2 linked regions of the Styela clava genome follow. The protein of the gene in region 2 interacts with the protein of the main gene of each other region in a pairwise test. Links are inferred from orthologs where the notes say so. Each region holds a gene or a part of one and is shown on either strand. Other genes may lie near its edges. The genes, in order: U6 snRNA-associated Sm-like protein LSm2 and U6 snRNA-associated Sm-like protein LSm8.

Region 1 (6,677 bases), on a different chromosome or scaffold from region 2:
TATAATTATTAAATAAATACAATTTTCTTGATTGCATCTAGCGATACCAAAAATACCCTTCGACGAATTATCATTATCTCCACCCATCATAATAGGACTGCCATACTTTTGAAAATGTTCGTTTATACTTTGTATGTGATTCACAAGTTGCCCTTGGGGAACATGCACAATTCTACAGGGTACGTCATACACATAATCTATGCATATTGATATTTCGAAAGAACCAATCCACTCTTTTGACCCCATAAATGAATGCTCCTTATCACCCATTGAAACCAATGCATGCTGAACCTCTGATATAGATGGTACATGTCCTGTAATTTTATCATAAATTTTGTCATTGTTTGTGGTTTCATTTTTACTTTTTGTCCTGTTTTTCTGTTTATGATAATGTATCCAACTGCACATAGTCTGTAGAGTTCTGTAACCACAACCCCATCCTCTGTCGTCTACTCCATCACATAAATAATGATAATACGCATATGTGCCTTTGACCGCTTCAACTTTACAATTCTCCAAAGACTCATTCAATAAATCACGGTGGATATCATGGGGTAATTCATCAGGGAATTTTGTTGATTTGACCGGTGACATGCTCATGGCTATTCAAATTTATCAATCAGATTCAGCATACTAAAATATGAAATCACAAGACCTAAATAGTTCAAAGCAGTATTAGGTACGAAAATTGGCACGAAATTGTTATGATTGAAATATGGTTCATGTGGATGAAATGGCAACAATCACTAACATACAAAACCAAAAAAATTCATCAATTTGTCAGTGTAGGTTGATGCAAAACATGCCAGATAAAAGCAGCATAAATGGTAAAAACATGATTCTTATTGGTGGAAAGAGATAATGAAAAACTGCAATGAATTTTTGGGTCACAGTAATGTATATCAAGAAGATAGAGCAATCAGCTTTGTATTGACTATCAAAAATTACCTTCTAATCATGTCATAAATTTTCGATTGAATATGTTAATGAATTCTCCCTGAAATTTCAACCGATAAAATAGATTTTGATAACTGTATTTTGAGATACAAAACATACATTTAGATTTTGACTATGCTCTTATTCACCTTTTACCAATTACAATGGTGAATTAAAATAATGAGGCTCTTAACGCCAGACATATTTGTTGCAAGATATTCACTGCTTTCTGAACTTGGTATGAATCAAACACTGAGATGTCAATTTATGTGAACATTGTAGGATACTATGACAGAATTGTGATGCAAATTCATGATTTTATTTTCTCAGAGATAAATACACTTCAAAACTGCTACTAAATTTGGAGTTCAGGAAATATTCTTCAAAAAATTCCTGACCAATTTTTCCGGGTTTAGTGAAACAAGAAAGACAATAAATAAAACCACATCGCCATCCCTATTTTATGCCACACTGGCATATGCTTTAGGTAATGTAAATAGCAGAATATTTATTGTTCACATAACTAAAATTCAAGTTTGGTCATTTTTTTGTCTCGTCTCAGTGGTGAGAAATAAGACAAATTTTAGATAGCATAATTTTCAAATAGTGATACTGCAACATAGAGCATCGATTTTCAATATATTAATAACTTTGGAACAGATAGTTCATGAGTGTAAGTACTGTCCATAATTTGACTCAGTATTGATAATGAGATATTTTGTCAATACTCGAGACATTCTCAATGTATGCAATATTCTATCATGTGAAATGCGCTAGTTTAAATTTCATTCACACTAAATTGCACCATAAATGTCTCTCATTGTTTGCTTTGCGCAGCTTCTTTTCTTGCTGCGTCTTGAAGTAGTGTTGTGTCGACCTCATCAGCTGGAAGTTGCACATATCGAACAACTGACCCTCTTATAAAACAATTTTTCACAGATAACATATGTGGATATTTTTCTGGATCTGTTACACTTATGTCTGTTAATTTGATATTCAGATATTGATCCACTGAATGTAAAGTTCCACATATACTTAAATCATTCTTCAGTTCCACAACAACGTCTTTTCCCACAAGTGATTTAAAAAATGAGTAGAATAACATGATTCCTATCAAAATGAGATTCTGTATTAATACTGTAATAAGTTTATCTTACTGACCAGGCAGCACTTTGCTACCGTATGTCAATAAATAAACAGTTCAAAGATTTTTATATAGTATATAAGTAGTCTAGCCTAACTGTAATTTCTGAAATTAGAAATATGATAATACTGTAGTAAATATCAGTTTTATAGATAACTTCCCTCGGAGTCGGACCATAGCCAGATAGCCCAGCAGCTGTGAAAAATTTTGCATTCTGGTTCCAACTTGTAATATTCATCCAAGTCATTGGTATTCGTATATCATATACAGATATACTATCTCACTACAGCACCAATCACACCAGCCCACCATAGCTAAATAAGTTTAAATATTGGTACATTAACAGACAAGGTCTATATTTCTATCACTGTAGGCATTTTCTGGCGCTTCATCGTGGTTGTTGGATAATCCGGAACTGAAATTCTGTCGGTTAACCGGATCAAAAGTAACGATACGCCGGTATGCGTAATATCAATTAAGACGTTAACTTGATAATTATGATGAAGAAATATGTACCGGTATGAAGACTCTTCGTCACACAACAAACAAACTATCTAACTCGGGTGTCATTTACAGTTTACACGACTCAACAGTCAGCGCGTTGTACGTCCTACGAAATGTAAAAAATTAAAATTTTATTATAGAAACAATAAACGCAAAAATGCATGATTTTCTTTCTTGCAATGTATGTGCGTATATTTCAAGAAAGATTACTCTAAAAAATTTACAAACGCTGTTAGCAGCAAGAGGTTTATAAAATAAATAATAAACTAAACGGCAATAAACATAAAAATAAAATCAGTCTCCGGTAGATGCTCGACTCAACACTCGACATCATAATAACATTTTTATATGAAATCAACAGAAAATTTGAAGAAGAATATAAAAAACCTTACAATAACAGAATAATGGGAAAATATATAGCAACAACAAATAAACGATTTACCCTAATTTGATGTAAATTTATGAGAACAAAGTTAATTTTTCCCAATTTTCTAATAATGAATTTCGTAGAAACCAAGTTTTCAGAAACATGTTTTTATTAACATCAATAACAAATAAATTCATTTTCTCGGGGTATTAAAACACAGATTCAAATATTTAGATGTAAGTTTCTATCCGTACGACGTACATAGTTGGTGTATTATGTTAATATGATTTTCTGCTTATGACGTGTTACGATATTATGTTCGTTTTTATTATTTGTAACGCTTTGTCAAACATATCCTATTTAATCTCTGGGAATATTTGACAAAAAAAAACAGAACTCATTGAGGTGCAACAGCATATAAAATGAATGACTAATTCGAAACAATTTTCAGAAAATGAAAATTCATATGCCAGAAGACCACGATCGAAAAGTAGAAAGAAGCCTCTTAACAAATACATTAAATTTGAAAAAAAAATGCATCAGACATTTAGGTGAAAGTTTTTCACGCGTCGACCTTTCAATGTTTGCTAGCTCTGGTGATAACAAGACTGAATTACTTTGTGGATTCGCGCAAACGACCTGAAGGGTTATCAGTAGAAGACGAATTGCTTTTTCTTAATTTCAAAACACCAACCAGGAAACGAAAGCATTGGACTTAAAATAGTTACAATTGCTCTTTTCTGACCTTACCACGTGTGAACTTTTTGTCATGTATGTTTGTATTAATATATATATTTTTAATTCGAATAATTGCTATCTGGCCTCATTTATAAGCTAAACACGATAACAAAGTAAACTATTTACGGTTCGCGCAAACGACCAAAGCACCTACCTAGATCAATAGAGGACAAATCGCTCTTCTTACTTTCAAAAAACCGAAACATAAACGATATCCGGTGCGATACAAATGCGAAATATATTTGTGAAAAGCGTGTTCAAAAAACAATGAAACTGTTATGATCAATCTTACTTTGTCATTGAGTAAAATACCACGAACATTTTCATTTGAAAAGCTGTTCAAAAAATCAAATCTAAGATATTGAGTTGGCAGAACCAAACTTTGTGATCTATGGATATAACTATTGAAAGCTATTGTGTTTTTATATAAAAGTTGTAAGCTACTATTGATATCCACCGTATCTCCAGTATATATATCGTATCGACTGCATGCAAAGGTATTTATGGTTACACAATGTTGGGAATTGAAAACAAATTCAGCGAATGGGGAATGTAACTAAGATTTATCGCCTCAATCAATACTTTTTATTAATTATGTGTAAATTCAATGAATAGGTAATTTTCTCTATTTCCTGATTATGATTTATCACAACAAGCAACGAGTCGTAGCAATGCTTCTTTGTATCGACCGATTTGTGACGTGTTCCCGGCCTTCATTGGAGAGTTGAGAATAAAACAAATAAAAGAATAAAATGTTTTGTGCCTTTCTTTACTGCCGCACAATTCCGCACCCATGGGCAATTGTACCCATACATTTGCACCTTAGATTTTAGCACCCCCATACAAATTACGCACGTTTGCACCCAGATACATTTCTAATCACGAACATTTGCACCCATGCAAAATCGTGTTAGATATATTTATTATACACACCAAAAATATCTTTAAACTATTTGAAAAAGTAGGCTATGTAAATTTTCGGCAATTTTCAACAATGGTGGAAGCTTTGTAATATGTTTTGCTATCTGCGCGATAGAATCAATAATAATACACCATGTGTTGTTTAAGTACTACAAAAATTTTATAGCTACGAAGACCAGAACCAATTAAAACTTTCTCAGCCTCTTTTCGAACTAACTATACAAGTGCAACTGTAGTAGATTCTATCCTTCCCATTCAGCTTCAAACCATGTGCCAGCTACTGGTGATCCGAGGCCGTATTTTTCGGCTATCTTCTTTGCACTTTGGCCACCTCTGAATCCGCCATTTGGGCCTATTTTCTCGTCCATAAACTTTATTTTGTCCGATTGTTGGAAAACTAATATGACGTAACGGTGTGGGCCTAAAAGTGACACAATATATATAATTAAAATATGATTTTTAGCTGTTCTATGTTCAAAATTTTTCCAAAAATACTGCAGTATTTATGCAAAAGAAGTTTATTTAATCTCACTATGGAGAATCATATCTATGGATAATACCTGTTCCTTTGGGAGGCGTAGATCCCATGTATGTGGTGATTACTTCTCCTTCGTTTACGTTATTCTCTGGGATATTGATGACGCCCCAGTGAAACCATTCGCGAAATGTTGGATTTTTCCGACTAGGAGCATCTAGGTCCATCATTAACAGGGTATAAAATTGATCTTTCTCCGCAGTCCATTTGACTGTAGGTGCAAACTTTACTTGTGTTGGTGTCAATTTCGTTCCCCCTTTTTTGACATCTATGCTTCCAAAAGACACTTCTGTCTGCTCGCATGGTGTATTAAGATTTAAATCAGATTTTAGATCATGCTGTATCCAATCTTGGCTGAATGTATCAGTTTCCGCAAGTACTTGGGAAAAATCATCACCGATAACTAAATTGAAAAATGGAGAGAACTTAATGTTGCTCTAAATCAACGCAATGTAATGCATTATACATTTCCTATTATTTAAGTTTCTACAATTTTCAGTGCTACCATGGTTAATGATTTTTGTTTGAATAAATGTAAAGCAATTACTCCTCTAATGAAAAACTATTCAAATACTACATTACTACTCATATTTTAATATCAATACAAATATCACGCGACGAATTAATATTTTTATACAGTATAGGTAAGTCACTTTAAAAGTGAATTATCAGTGTGTTGAAATTCATTAATTCAAGTGCGCTATCACAACACCATTGCTTAGGAAATGTAAAGATAATGATCCAATAATTGTCTCAAATTTCAGATTGGAGAACAATGAACTACAAACACAATTTTACCAACTTACAATCATTGATAAACATATCTGACATCCAAGCTGTTAATAAAATCAATCAATAAATAGATGAACTATCCATCAGTTAATAAATTAAGTTAACAAATTATCTAATATACTCACATTCATGTCCGTAGCAACTGTAAAAATATAAGAAATATAATTATTTAGTACAAATGCGTGAACAAAATGGTTGCTTTTTCTGCAATTCTTATAAAAATGACTGTTTACATTTCGAAACCCAAATAAATATAAATTTTAAATATAAACGAACATATGTAATTGACTCTTGTGTTCTGTTATTTGCAACAGTGAAATATGTTTTTATTTCTATGCATTCTTGTGCATATACAAAATGCCAGACTATAATTTCCTGTTGCAGCAGATTTACAATAATCACATTTTTTTGATATCTGAAATTACGCAAAATTAAATAAGTCAATGAATATAAATCGATATGACGGGTAACGTAATATACATATACAGCCACTAACGTACATATACAGCCAAGTCAATAAACATAGGATAGGATAGGATTTACATATTTATCCCGGGGGAGAGGAAAGCCGATAAGACGGCTTAACCATATGGCGAACCACGGCCTCTCGTCCGGTTACCATTCCAAGTCGGGTATGGGATTAGTTTTACTGTATTGTTTGTTTTCGGAATCATGGACTTGGTGGTGGAGGAAGCCGTAACCGACCAGCGGTTACGTGAACCACCCAATGACGGCGAGGA
Region 2 (6,181 bases):
AGGTATAACAGTCTTACCCAGCTTTTATGAATAATATTTAATGTTGAAGAAAGACAAGATTTAAAAATTAGATTGGAAGTCTTTTAAAGTTTCCATATTACTGTAATGACTCCATTGATGAATGCACATTGTATGTCAGTTTCCACTTGATAATCGTATAGAACATTTAAATTCGAAGCCCAACCATTCAATAATTGATTAAGCCTTATAACTCATCTTTTACCAATTAGCAATACAAAAAGCAAGCTTCTAATCAGATGAACAATATTACGGACAAGATTAGAGGTTTAGAAGAAAGTCATCAAGGAAGATTGCAAGAATATCACAGAGAAATGTCACATCTAAGAAGATTGTTACAACAAAAACAAGCAATGTTGGATGATGTTACCCATGAAAAGAGGTGAATTGTGATTTGAAAGCTCGTTCTGGTTGATCATTGAGAAACTTTCTTTTCCAATGTACAAATTAAGATTACGGGGTACACGAGGCAGGGTGCGCTTTTATGGCCATGCTCATCCTGGTATAGTTTCTCCTATTTATCCTGGCACTGAGGAAAAGCTGGTAAGGTAATTAAATAATCATATGACAAAACACAGCCTCTCATCTGGTTACCAGTCCATGTCGAGTATGGTAGTAGTCGACCAGTAATTTGTTTCAGATTACGGACTTGATGGTGGACGGGTCCACGCTGGGTAATTAGAGGTGCTATTCAAGTGTATTTCTAACACATAGTACAATGCCAACCGCGGAGCCAAATACTGAATAATGTGGAAATACAAATGTAGAATATATAATTTGAATGTTTTCTCTTCTTGATGCTAATTCAGCCTGATTGTACTTTGCTTCTTAACCTAAATGTGGTTCATTCTTGTAGTTGAACCTTTATTTGAACTTACAGATTGATGGAAAATGAATTGGAAAATGTATGGCAAGCAGCAACATCTGAGAATCGTAGAATTATGGATTCATTTTACAAAAGTAAAGTTCTGGACTGAAATCTTCATCATATATATTTTTTTACTTTTCATGCAGTACTTTTTTTTAACATTACACATCACTGGGGTTTTCTTACCATTTTTAAAGTAGCAAAATCTATTTGGCGTATTCGCAAAATCTATATTCATTCAAATACTTTTTCATATTCCCAAAGTTGCACATGCTGTAGTCATGCACTTACTCCTTGCCTGGAATCGTGAAATAAATAAAATGGCTTGTAATTAAATTCATAAATCCTCAATGTTGTGTCGAAATATTTCCCACATAGCGAATATCCAACCAATATAGTGATAGATGATGCTTATTTGGTTTTTTAAATTTTCAAACTTCTTGCTGCAGTATGAGATTTTATATTTTAATACTGTGAATAGTTTAAATATTTGTATTTGCACTGACACTTTCGTTTATATTAAATATTGCTCTAATTTGTTTTCTAGAAAACATGCTTTTATTATCTGTATATTGAATCATTCATTATTGACTTCCAACACAATAGGCGCATTTTTTAGTCTACAGTCCCACGACTATATGAAAGTACAAAATGTTCAGGTCAATTTTATTTTAGAATTGTGCAAAAAAGTAAAAAAAAGTGGTGTGGTGAAAGTTTGAGCAGAGAGTTGTAGTCAACAGTAATTTGTACAGCCTTGTAAAATTATTAGCTGTCACCCCACAACACAGAGGACTGCTATTAAGAGCAAAATTTGAAACTGCCTGCAATATTTTATAGCGACATAAAGAATGTATGCTATTCTTCCTCATTTGTCAAATATTTTCACAAATGTTTTCGACAAAACGGAAACCAATAAAGATTAAAAAACTATTTTATGCTATGACAAATCCCTTGCCCATTTCTCCAAAGCCTCTATATTAATATCAGATTGTCTTGATCTGCTTTTCCCAGTTTTCACCAAATCAGCGTTAAGGTTTTGATGACCAGCGACAGCCTGAGATGATTTGGCAGGTCGCACTACTTCAAATTTTTTCCATTCATACCCCGAGCATTCACTTGCACCAGGCAAACTTTGAATAAGGTTTTGTATAATGGGATGAGAAAGTCCGAAGAAATCATACTCACTCAAAGTGAGATTGTCAGGATTTTGAGGAGCAGCAGCTAACAAAAAAGAAGCGTAAACTTCTGATATTGATTGGCTTAAGAATGTTATTTCTGGTGCATCTTCCGGAGATATCTCAAATCTTGGACTTATGCTGTCATCAAATATTTTACATGTGTACAGACACTCGCTTTCTGGAGAAGAAATGCTGTTAAAAGATCTCGTTGAACAATAACCAACAGGGAAGATGAATTTTCTGTTATGATAATTGGGTCGATCATGAACGATTTCACCTATACTGTACACAGATAAATCCCCAATCTCAATGGGAAAAATTGGCCGGCCATTATTATCCACTTGAATAGGGTTCACCATTGTACATTTTGCTTTTTGTTGACCTGTTTTCGTTGTACCTTCACCAAATGTTTTTGAAGATTTTTTTACTTTTGTGTTTGCTGTTTTCTGAGATTTATTTCCCTTGGATGATTTCAAAGAATTAAGATTTGGTTTTTCATATTGCATAAGCTTTTTTAAAAGATATTTCCTTTCGGCTTTCACAGTGGAAATCTTGTCTTCAGTTCTTGCAATTTCTTCACACAAAGCACCATTCTGGTGCACAATTTCTATCACTGTTTTTCTCAATCGTTTGTACTTTTTTCGGTAATACTCATCATTTTTTTTAGTAGAATCACCCACATTTTCACTCATAATTTTATCCATGTCTTGATGAATAAAATAGAAAATATGTTATTAATTACTAAATTCAGAAAAAGGTATGATTTTCAGGGTCTCGTGTAGTTTCGTACTTCTAGTGGGCATAGCATAACGATTTATGCACATGTCAATCTTAACCCCCACCAAACTCAGCCATCCAAAAATTATGTCACAATCATGTCATAGAGCTTGCCAAAGTATACCTACGATCGCCCAAAATGGTATCTGCGCCAACGATAAAGAAATCAGCGATCGCTCTCATATAGTTATATCGGGATCGATGCGACGAGATAAATGGCTTGCTCGATTTCGGGTGATCGTTTGTGTGTCATAATTTTCAGATGACATAGTCAGGTGTGGTTCAAAAATGACTACCGGTACCGTATGCCACGCCAACTAGAAGCACTTGACGGCGTTTAATGAACTAGTGCCGAAGATTCTATATTAAGACTGCATTCCATCCATAGAAATCTGCACCACTTTTTAATTCACATCCACACAATGTTGCAATGCATTCGGACTTTCACTGATTACAGAACGCTGAAAATACCAACCCAACAAAACAAGGCGAGCTAACAACAGACCAACATCTGCAAAATGATTTTATGTTTATTTTCGGTATGTAATTTGACCTTTTAAACACGGGTCACCACGCACGATAGACGCTTTCCGTAATATCAAAATATGTTATTTCACATAGATATATCTGAATTTGCACAATATTATTTATAATGAATACTATATATATCTAGGCATATTGTTCACCTCCAGCAACATTGCCAAAGTATGGACCTTTCCCCGACTTTTAACCCCTGGAAAATTCTTCCTATACTTTACCATTGCAAAATTTCCGAGGCTATTTTAGGAGTGCTTTTGCGAGTTGGCGCTTGTAAAATGGAGTAGGTGTTTTAAACCATCATTATGATTCATCGCATACAACGATTTGTTTTTTTAAAGTACCGGTAAAGAATTTCAGGCTAGTCTATCACAGCTATTTCTAAACTAATTTTTATTACTGCAATTTAATTAAAACTCCTAGGAAGACAGAGTGATCATTGAATTATCTGATTTATATTTAAGTTTCCGAAACACAACTGAAAACTAACGAATAGAGTTCAAAAACGCGAAAACGAGGTAATGTTTACAACCGCGCTTGAAAATCTGTCTGAGTGAGAAAAGTGTCTGAGCGAATGCGAAAAGGGGGCATTGTTACGTCACTTTTTGCATCTTGCTGATTGGCCAATGTCACAAAGTAAACAAGGAAGTCGATGCTCGGGGAAAGGTCCATTCCTCAGGTGGGCATCAAATTTCGTTTCGTGTAAAATAAATCTCTCTCCCTCTCACAGGCCACTACAGTATATCGAAATCGTGCGTTTCGGTGCTACAGTCAGACAGTGTGGCGCGTTGTGTGAATCTTCTAGCCGAGCAATCCTATTTCGACTGATCTGAGCACATTGGACAGCGGCGTCATGGCGATGGCGCTTGAGCCTCTTGTGAATCGTATCCTTTGAAAATGCAATTGAATAGAAGATCATAAAACATTTCAATCGTCAAGATAGCTTTACAGTGACAAAAGTCACTTAACTTTATATGTATTTCGATAGACAGTTCGTTTTGTTTAGATCTTCAGTTTTAATTAGTACGGTATGTATAAGTGCCAGGAATATATAGTTCAAGGTAATTCTGTAAAAATTTTCCTTAATACAAACTTATTAGATGTTGTGTCTGTGATCACTGGCGATGGAAGAATGATAGTTGGAACTTTGAAGGGATTTGATCAGACTGTCAACATTATTCTTGATGAGAGTCATGAAAGAGTGTTTTCATCATCACAAGGTGTCGAACAAGTCATGCTTGGACTATACATTATTCGAGGAGACAATGTGTGAGTTGCTTTACTATGTAATCTGCAAATACTTGTATAAGAAATATATAAATCTAAATTATTTTTACCAACGTGCCCTTTCGAGTACAACTAGCCTTTTATTCATTGGGAAGGTCCTATTCAGATCTGCATTGAAAAGCGAAGCCAATATTATTTAATATTTGCAAGCGTTTCAAGCCCTTTTTTTATCCAAGTTTGAACAGGAATCTAAATAATATTTTAGAACGAGAGATCATTTGGTATTTACAATTTTCATATATAGGTAGAGGAATTATTGGTTGTATGAACTTATTTGCTGCCAAGTCGTCTTCAGAGCAAAATCATGACTAGAAAAGTATTGTGATTTTCATGCAAATATTACTGCTACTTAAAAACTAATTTTAGCAGCCATTGCATCAATTTCAGTTCAGTTGGATATTTATGGGCAGTTTCTTCTAATATCCTTCCACTATACATGTATTAAAACCAAGCTCACTTTTTGCAGTGCTCTCGTCGGAGAAATAGACGATGCTACAGACTCCTCACTGGACCTGGCAAACATAAAAGCTGCACCTTTGAATGCTGTTGTTCATTGACAAAACCTAAAAGGGATCCAGACCATAGATGGATTGCTGCTGTATTAGATAAATTCTTTCCTCCACCTCCGCATAATTCTGATCTTGATCATAAAGAACATCTGTGATTGCGGAAATTCTAATGAACTGAAATCTATAGGCAGTGCGTTTATTTTTTATTATTTTTAAATAAAGTGTCAATTAGAAGATTTGGTTGCAGGCTTTGTGACTTTCCCATCTGGATACTTCTGCTTAAATTTTCCAACAACGTCTGGTTCGACCAAGTGCACTCCATCGAGTTGGTTTCCCAGTGTTACCCTGTAGCAAGAACAGATAATAAAGATCATACAGTTTAGAAATGCTTATAAAGAAAGGTGCATGCATCGAGGATAATTACCAGTTTGGCTGTACATTGTGCATCCTGCCGAATAATTCCAATTTTCTTGTGCCAGGAGAAAGCCTTTCTATAATACCATAGATTTCATCTGGTTTGTGACTGGTGTCTCTTACCTACAACGAATATAAAGATATAATTGTAACCTTCAAACATATTGCCGAGTTCTGTTTTAAAGAATTGCAAATTTACCTCTGCCACAAGTACATCACAGTCCAACCCTGTATTGATGCCTTTAGGGTTTCCTTTTATGCCGACCTGCAGGAAGAAAAATTTTAAAAATAAAATACCTTGAAGAAAAAACGTTTAATAGACTCAAATCAGAAAAAAATTCAGCAGTCATATTTGATAACGGGTTTTATATGAAATCACAGGCAGATATTCCAACACCGAGTTTTACACAAGCAGAAGTTGCTTGGACTTTTACGCTCTGCGCTGAAGACATACCAGACAATGCTCTTTTCCGTGATTTATCCAATGACCTGTTCTTCCAGTTCGTATTAATCTTTGAAGTTGATTGGTTTTTACCCAAATGAGTTCATCACATCTCTGGTATCTGTACAATTATGAATCTAATTTTATTTGG

What was found.
Region 1: the proteins of U6 snRNA-associated Sm-like protein LSm8 (region 2) and U6 snRNA-associated Sm-like protein LSm2 interact in a two-hybrid assay, tested with the Drosophila melanogaster proteins (2 studies listed by BioGRID). The link is inferred for Styela clava from reciprocal best matches to the Drosophila melanogaster genes CG2021 and CG10418.

Annotation. Positions count from the first base shown.
Region 1 is NC_135250.1:9,209,858-9,216,534, reverse strand, and holds U6 snRNA-associated Sm-like protein LSm2, read right to left. Parts: upstream 2,181-6,677; 5' UTR 2,042-2,180; coding exon 1,754-2,041; 3' UTR 656-1,753; downstream 1-655. Other genes in the region: ufm1-specific protease 1-like, read right to left, coding at 1-600; protein D2-like, read right to left, coding at 4,853-5,031, 5,171-5,548, 5,952-5,981, 6,063-6,079.
Region 2 is NC_135263.1:8,561,572-8,567,752, reverse strand, and holds U6 snRNA-associated Sm-like protein LSm8, read left to right. Parts: upstream 1-4,103; 5' UTR 4,104-4,231; coding exon 4,232-4,262; intron 4,263-4,478; coding exon 4,479-4,647; intron 4,648-5,131; coding exon 5,132-5,222; 3' UTR 5,223-5,398; downstream 5,399-6,181. Other genes in the region: centrosomal protein of 89 kDa-like, read left to right, coding at 1-2, 231-400, 899-995; transforming growth factor beta regulator 1-like, read right to left, coding at 1,824-2,768; N(6)-adenosine-methyltransferase catalytic subunit METTL3-like, read right to left, coding at 5,399-5,519, 5,599-5,711, 5,788-5,853, 6,043-6,151.